Macaca fascicularis: one gene and its partner. The protein of the gene in region 2 binds, or shares a complex with, the protein of the main gene of each other region. Links are inferred from orthologs where the notes say so. Each region holds a gene or a part of one and is shown on either strand. Other genes may lie near its edges. The genes, in order: TRIM28 and SMARCAD1.

The links.
Region 1: the proteins of SMARCAD1 (region 2) and TRIM28 are in contact, whole or in part, in a crystal structure (PDB 6H3A), measured with the Homo sapiens proteins. The link is inferred for Macaca fascicularis from reciprocal best matches to the Homo sapiens genes SMARCAD1 and TRIM28. Residues at the interface, in NP_001362784.1 of Homo sapiens: Asp156, Leu157, Ala160, Lys161, Gln163, Thr164, Glu167, Leu168, Phe169, Asp188, Gly189, Ala190, Ala192, Leu196, Ala201, Gly202, Gly203; in NP_005753.1 of Homo sapiens: Arg330, Trp333, Thr334, Lys337, Ile338, His341, Leu376, Lys377, Ile379, Val380, Asp381, Val383.

What each region holds. Positions count from the first base shown.
Region 1 is NC_088393.1:66,277,635-66,281,886, reverse strand, and holds the start of TRIM28 (transcription intermediary factor 1-beta), read right to left. Parts: upstream 2,898-4,252; 5' UTR 2,603-2,897; coding exon 2,263-2,602; intron 1,939-2,262; coding exon 1,826-1,938; intron 1,600-1,825; coding exon 1,467-1,599; intron 29-1,466; coding exon 1-28. UniProt on the Homo sapiens protein: Nuclear corepressor for KRAB domain-containing zinc finger proteins (KRAB-ZFPs).
Region 2 is NC_088379.1:99,897,704-99,901,510, reverse strand, and holds part of SMARCAD1 (SWI/SNF-related matrix-associated actin-dependent regulator of chromatin subfamily A containing DEAD/H box 1), read right to left. Parts: coding exon 3,782-3,807; intron 2,116-3,781; exon of another isoform or gene 2,027-2,115; intron 1,938-2,026; coding exon 1,828-1,937; intron 1-1,827. UniProt on the Homo sapiens protein: DNA helicase that possesses intrinsic ATP-dependent nucleosome-remodeling activity and is both required for DNA repair and heterochromatin organization.

The DNA of each region.
Region 1 (4,252 bases), on a different chromosome or scaffold from region 2:
CGTTCACCATCCCGAGACTTGGCTGGCCCTGGGGAGTCGGAATCATAAGGCTGGACCTTGCCCTTCACCACCCCCAACTCAGGAAGCAGACTAAGTTGGGGCCTCATTTCCTGCCCATTCTGTGACACTGGGCCATTTATTGGGAAGATGTAGAGGGTGTGGCCAGCGAAGAACACAGGCCTGCAAGCCCAATTCCTTGCTCCCAGAAACCTCTGCCCCAACATAGCTGAGAAACACATCCCTTTCTTCTAGCTTCTAGAGGTGACACAAAGGTAAAGGTAAGGACAGCCTCCGGAAAAAGAGGACTACCCCCCCACACACACTGTTCCCTTTATTCTCCAAGTGGACATATTCAGAATTCTGCCTACAAACCACCCTGGACTCCTTTTCTTCTCCTTTCATGGTTAACTTCCTCCCTCTTTCGTGACAAGAAAACACCAGGGTCTCTTACAACCCAAGAGCCCAGAGAAAACCTGTAGAGGTTCTCATACTGGGAGAGATAAAATGTCAAACTAGGACCCTCAGAATGGTGGTCACACCCCCTCTAGACCAGGAGCTTGGTGCTCAGCATAATTCCACCCCAAGACCAACACATTAATAACCTTCAAAGCCTGCTTCCCCATTAGAAAACCGATTAAGCATAGTGGTCCAACATACCAACCAAATCCAAAATACGTAGCATCAGGGCTCACTGGGGAAACTGACTTCCCCAGTGCCACCATTCCTGCACCCTGACCTTTGCTTGGGACGTCTGGAATGTAGGACACCCTGCAGCCCCTGCCTATCCCTCCTGGCTCCTCAGGCCCCACAGCCGCCACTTTCCCACTATCTTCCACCAATGCTGGCCTCTGGGATGGGAAGAATCACGGTATGGCTACCAAAAGGCCACTCATGGGAGGATTTTGGCCCAAAAACTGGGCTACACTCAAAAGACTCTCAAGCTCCTTTCCAAATCAAAGCTAGCGAGTGTCTGCGAAAAGCTGGAAATGCCAAACCAAACTCCGGGTAAGTCTCTGCCAACTCAAAAGCTAAAACGTTTCCAGAAATCACCATCACTTATAACCCATGGACCCACAAAGTCTCATTTTCCCTAACAGCGTCTTATACCAGATGTGTGCCAGGGAACCACAAACCCAGTAAGCCCTTCACACCATGCCTTTCCCTGTTTGCATATTCTGAGCCCTTCAACACCAGGACTGAGAACTCCCTGATAAGCTTCCTCAAACCCTCTGTACCTCCCTGCAGCACATTAAGGTCTCCACGTCTCCCCTTCCCACCCCCTCCCACCTAAGCCCTAGAGACTACACACCACAACCACAATTTTCCTGCTTTTGGAGTTCTGCTCTCCGGCCCTTCGGGCGGCACCCCCTGGACAACTCTAGGACCCATCCACCAAATGCAACCAACATTATAAAAGCAACTGAGGGCACACACGGGAAAGCAACAGCCCCCTCAGCCTCACGTACCAGTAGAGCGCACAGTGTGATCCTTGGTGTACTTCACCCGCTGGTGCGCCTCTACACAGGTCTCACACAGAGGCTCCGAGCACTCCACACAGTAGCTGGTAGCTGGGGCATTATCCTCACAGCTAGTGCAGCACTGCCAGACAAAGGCAGGGTCAGAGAAAGCAAGACAACTTGCTAGATCCACATCTACACCTCAGAAAATACAACCCAAGATTAAGATTGGTCCCTTGACCCAGCCTAGACAGCCCACCCAGAGCCTTGGGAAAGTCGAGTAACAGCCTGGGAGCTGGTGTCAAGCTCCTCCTGGGCAGATGCCCCCTCCCCAGAAACCTCCCTGTGGTTGCTGCGGTTGGACGCACCTGGTTAGCATCCTGGGCGTCGGTGGCAGCCTTGCTGCCACTATCACGCATGAAATAATTCTCCACGATGTCTTTGGAGAAGCACTGTTGCTTGCACACGGGACAGTCCACCACTTCAAGAGGCAGGGATGTGGGAGACTGTTACAAGTTCCCACCCAAGTTATGGCCCCCCGCATCCCCGTGCTGGGTGGGCCCCCGACCATTACCCCGCAGCGAGCCAGCCCCTCCCCTCCCCGAGCCCTTTCTCCAACTTTAGTCAGATGTCTCATCTCAGCGGCCAGCTCAAACCCACGTTCCTATGCAGGACCCAGAAAGTACTCCCCGTGCACTGTCCGGGCCCCCATCCTCTTGCCCAGGTGGCATCCTCATCTCTGCACCCAGTGGGAATCAAAGGCAGAGAGTAGGGGGAGGGGTGGCCCCGATCACTTCGTACTTACCGGCGCCGTCGCCCGCAGCCCCGCCGTCCCCGGAGCTGTTGGCGGCGGCGGGCGCCGCGGGCCCTAGGCAGGCACTACAGGCCGAGTGCAAACAGGGCAGCAGGCGGGGCTCCCTCTCGGGTCGCAGGCGCTCTCTGCACACGCCGCAGTGCTCCAGCAGCTCCAGCGCCTCGGCGCCGCCCCCCGCGGGCGACGACACCGAGGCCGAGGCCGAGGCCGAGGCCGCGGTCGAAGAAGCGGTGGAGCGCTTTTCGCCGCCAGCGGAGCTCTCGCCCGGGCCCGGGCTGCCAGAGGCGGCCGAGGCCGCTGCTGCCGAGGCTGCCGCCGCCGAGGCCGCCATTCACACGCCGCCGGGGGCGCCCAGGGGGGAGGAGGGGCGCGGGGCCCGCCGCGCAGGCGCAGACGCGCTCGCCGCCAACTGCTGGGCCGCCGCCGCCGCCGCGAGGCCGAGCACCGCCACGCGCCTCCTGGGCCGCTGCCCGCCGCGCGCGGGACGCTGCTGCGGCACCGCCAACTGCTGCCTGCTCGCCTCCCGAAGGCGCCGCCCGCGCTTCTTCCTCAGCCGCCGCCGAAACCCTCACCACGCGCCACAAGCACAAGCACAACCGCTCGCCCGCGCGCCCGCTCGCAGAAAGAGCCGAGGCCGGGGGGCGGGACAGAAATAACTGGCGCCGACGCCGCCGCGCACGCGCATTGGGCGCCGCACGCCCGGGGGCGGGGCCCAGGCCGGTCGGGGCGGGAGAGGCTGCCAGTACGCACGCGCCCACTCCGGGTCCTTCCACCACGGCCAACCCCACGTCGGTGGGGTCTTGTGGGGGCGGGGCGGTCCCTCTGTGACGTCACTGCCGCAATTTAATCCGCCAGTGGGGTGTGCGCACCTTTATAGAGTGTGATTCCCCTCTCAGCTCCACCTCCAGACCACACCGAAGCGGGCCGCTGTGCGCCCAAGCGCATGGGCAGTCCGTAACTCTTCCTCAACCCGCGTCTTTTCGCTCGCGTAGAGTCGTCTCCAGCCTCTGCGTCACTAAGCGTTCGGGATAGGGGGCAGGGCCAATGGAGAAGTAGGCGGGGCCAAGACGGAGTAAAGGGCTGTGCCCCGGGAGAGGGGAGGACAGGCTCCATCCCAGGAGGGAGGAAGCGCCTGTGTGAGAGCAGGGGCTGACTTTTGAATTTTAACCACGTTATAGTTAAACTTGAGAAACACAGAAAGTTGCCTAAATCAAATGTAGATCACAGACGGGCGCCGTGGCTCATACCTGTAATCCCACCATTTTCTTAGGCGAATCGGGAGGCTCCGTTTAGCCCAGGAGGCCGGGGCAGCAGTGAGCCGGGATTGTGCCACTGCACGCCAGCCTAGACAACAGATCGAAAAAAATGTGGCCGGGCGCGGCGGCTCACGCCTTTAATCCCAGCACTTTGGGAGGTCGAGGCGGGTCGATCACCTGAGGTCGGGAGTTCGAGACCAGCCTGGGCAACATGGTGAAACCCCGTCTCTACTAAAAATACAAAAATTAGCCGGGCGTGGTGGCGGGCGCCTGTACTCCCAGCTACTCGGGAGGCTGAGGCAGGAGAATCGCTTGAACCCGGAAGGCGAAGGTTGTAGTGAGCCGAGATCGTGCCATTGCACTACAGCCTGGGAGAAAAGAGCGAAACTCCATCTCAAAAGAAGAAATCTTTTTGTGTTTGTTTTGAGACGGAGTTTTGCTCTGTTGCCCAGGCTGGAGTGCAGTGGCGCGATCTCGGCTCACTGCAACCTCTGCCTCCCGGGTTCAAGCAATTATCCTGCCTCAGCCTCCTGAGTAGCTGGGATTACAGACATCCGCCTCCACACGCCCGACTATTTTTTGTATTTTTAGTAGAGACTGACTTTCACCACTTTGGCCAGGCTGGTCTCCAACTCCCCACCTCAGGTGATCAACCCGCCTCGACCTCCCAAAGAGCTGGAATTACAGGTGTCAGCCACCACGCCGGCCCCCCTACCGCCCGCCGC
Region 2 (3,807 bases):
AAGGAGAGTGGTAAAGAGAGGGCAGGATTCTTCATAACTAAACATTTCAAAGGTACTGGCTTGAGAGCACAGCTAAAAATACACTGCTATTTTAACAGACAACGCAGGTGAACAGAACAGGCAAAATTTTAGACTGACCAAATTTATACAAATACAAATAATTTACATTAATTATGACTGAAAATGATTGAATATACACATCACCTCTGTTCCCATCATCTGTAATACCATTAAAATACAATGGGAGAAAAAAGTGTAAGGGGATTAGACAAAGGAGAAAGAATAGGCGAAAAAGACAACAGCAGAGAGAGAGTTGTTCACAAATTTTGAAAGAAAACAATAGATGAAAGCATGGAAACTGATTTTCGCACAATAAAGTAAAAGCTTAAGTGTCTGCAGGTGGGAAATGCAAGGCTACTTCATACCAAGAATCCTTACCCTTCTACCCTCAAAGCTCAGGAAATGGGGGTAAATGGGAAACATGAAGCTATAATCAGCTTGAACAGGTAAGATGACTACAGCTTGCCCAAGAAAGCCAGCCATTTGCCCCAGATGTATAAAAATGAAGGTTTATTCTCTTTGGAGAATATGAGTCTGAGGAACACTGGACTTGTCATAGTAGAGAACAGAGAGGCTGCTGAAAACAGGCAGATTAACTATTAATATTTAAATATGAGAACAAACCTCCCTCCTTCAGTTCTCAGGGCCATTGGCTCATACCACCTCTCCCCACCTCTCTTCACTTCACAGGAGGCTGAAAAATTTACCTCTGAGGAAATGAACTAGCCCATAAGAAAAGACTTATAGTTAATTTTATCAACTATTATGGTTCTACTATATTTAGAAACTTATTATAGAATAAAATCCATATATCTGGATATTTGCTGGTATTGGTAAAAAAGAATTTAAATGCTTTACTAAATTCTAAAAGCTGCCATAGCGAAATAATAAGGAAAACATTGCCCAAAGAGAATCTGCCTTACGCACTCACTTTACTGTATTTACTGGACAACCTGAAACTGGCAAGTTGCCATATGCACAAAAAGCCTAGTAATTCGTGTTAATTGTTTAACTTATGATCACCCTACTTATCCTTAAAGATCTCAGTTGCTTCTTACTCAAACTTTTTCTACTGCCCGCCTCCCCAAGCTTCCATAGCACCCTGAAATGTTATGCAAGAAAAACAAGTAATTATTTGATCATATGCATTTCTCTCTCGCTGTAGACAGATTAAAGTGTATTGACTTTTATAGTACAGAGTGCCTAATATAACACAGACATAACAGTATCTGTCATGAACAGAAATTTGCTAAATTAAAATGAACCATTATCAATATCAGGAATATCCTTATTTATTAGAATGAAAAAACTTGCTTATTTCCAATTAACTTAACATTAAATAAGAAAAGGTGCAGAAGAGTGTATCGTAGTTGACATGCACCCTTACTCCCATAAAAGAAAGAATACGTGTTTATTTCTACACACATAAAATAACTGGTCACACACACACAAAAACGAAAGGCTAACACTTGCCACCTCTATGGGGAAGTTGGGAGATGGGGTGACTAGGAGGTGTCTGTTCTTTCATTTCTGAGTTCTGAACATATTCTTTTCAAAAACATATACAAAAATAAAAATTTTGAACTTAAGAGACTTTAAAAAAATTATTTTAGTATTTTTGAAGTAAATATGCTTACCTTCTCCCACATCACACATCACCCCTAAACTGTAAGCTAGTTAAGGACTTTAGTCATCTTTGTCACCTTCTTGCACTAATTAGATGCATGGTCATATAAATACTGAAGTTTCTGCTTACAAAAAACTTACCTTCATCTACTGTAGTCATATCCTGTTCTAGTTTCAATTTCTGTTGGTTAATTTTTAGCATGGATTCTTCAATCGTCCCTTGGCTTATTAGTTTTATAACTAGTACTTCTCTAAAAAAACATACAAAATATGTCCATTGGTTACTAAATATAGTTATTTGGATATATGTAAACTATATTTAAGAGTTCAAAAAGAATACCTTGAAAATTATGACAAACATATCCTTAAATTCTTTTATTTAAGCCATTTGAGACTGACATTTTCTGAATATTTAACTTTTAGACACTCCTAAAGATGCAAGAAAAGAGAAAGATATTTGTATTTAAAGTAAATTACTGGCTGGGCACAGTGGCTCACATCTCTAATCCCAGCACTTTGGGAGGCTGAGGTGGGTGGACTGTTTGAGGCCAGCAGTTCGAGATCAGCTTGGCCAACACGGTAAAACCTGATCTCCACTTAAAAAAAAAAAGAAAGAGAAATACGAAAATTAGCTGGGTGTGGTAGCACACACCTGTAATCCTAGCTGGTTGGGAGGCTAAGGCATGGGAATTGCTTGAACCCAGGAGGTGGAGGTTGCAGTGAGCAGAGATGGTGCCACTGCATTCCAGCCTGGGTGACAGAGTGAGGCTCTATCTCAAAAACAAAACAAAACATATGTGTGTGTACAAACACACACACACACACACACACACAGATAAAACTACATTACAACAAACACTTCTGTGTTCAGATGGAAATTACTTTTTTTTGAGATGGAGTCTCGCTCGGTTGCCCAGGCTGGAATGCAGTGGTGCGATCTTGGCTCACTGCAAACTCTGTCTCCTGGGTTCAAGTGATTCTCCTGTCTCAGCCTCCTCAGTAACTGGGATTACAGTCGCATGCCACCAAGCCCGGTTAATTTTTGTATTTTTAGTAGAGACGGGGTTTCACCATGTTGGTCAGGCTGGTCTCAAACTCCTGACCTCGTGATCTGCCCGCCTCAGCCTCCCAAAGTGCTGGAATTACAGGCGCGAGCCACTGTGCCTGGCCCGAGAAGCAGTGTCTCTGTACACTTAAGGCAGTGCAGTCAGATACAAAGTTTCACAATAAGTACTGGTAAGTATTTAGTCTATAAATGAACATACCAATATCTTTTGGACATATATTAAAATACTTCACAAAGAGGACACTGTCTGATCTTTATTTATGTAAGCAGAGTTGTAACTATCTTCACCTTTTTTTTTTTTTTTTTTTTTTTTTTTTTTTTGAGTTGGAGTCTCGCACTGTCGCTCAGGCTAGAGTGCAGTGGCGCGATCTTGGCTCAATGCAAGCTCCACCTCCTGGGTTCACGTCATTCCTGCCTCAGCCTCCCGAGTAGCTGGGACTACAGGTGCCTACCACCACGCCTGTCTAATCTTTTTTTTTGTATTTTTAGTAGAGACAGGGTTTCACCGTGTTAGCCAGGATGGCCTCGATCTCCTGACCTCATGATCCACCCACCTCGGCCTCCCAAAGTGTGTGAGCCACTGCACCCGACTATCTTCACCTCTTTACAGTGCTGTGACCAATGTCAAAATTACCATTCATCTAAAATAATTTACAACTCAGTTTACTTCCTAAAGGGTAACAGGACAGCCCAGCAATAATTTGTGTATTATGAAGTTTGTCTGGGTCTTAAACTGGTCTAATAAGCAAGTCTTTTCAATTACTCATCTTTTTCAAAGGCGTAGACAATTGTTAATACTTCATGAACTGCAGAACTATTTGGAATCCGGGTGGATGGTTTTAATTACTAGAAAATGGAAGGGTTACTCAGTGCAGTCGATGTTCAACACTGCTGGCATAAAATACATATGTAGCCATGCTTTGCTGAAAAAATAAAAACTAAGGCAGGATATCCAACACTATATTCTATTGGTCTACACAAATTAAAGTGGCACTGAATTAAAAATACATTTCAACTAAAAACACTTACTTAGTCTGGCCTACTCTATGGCATCT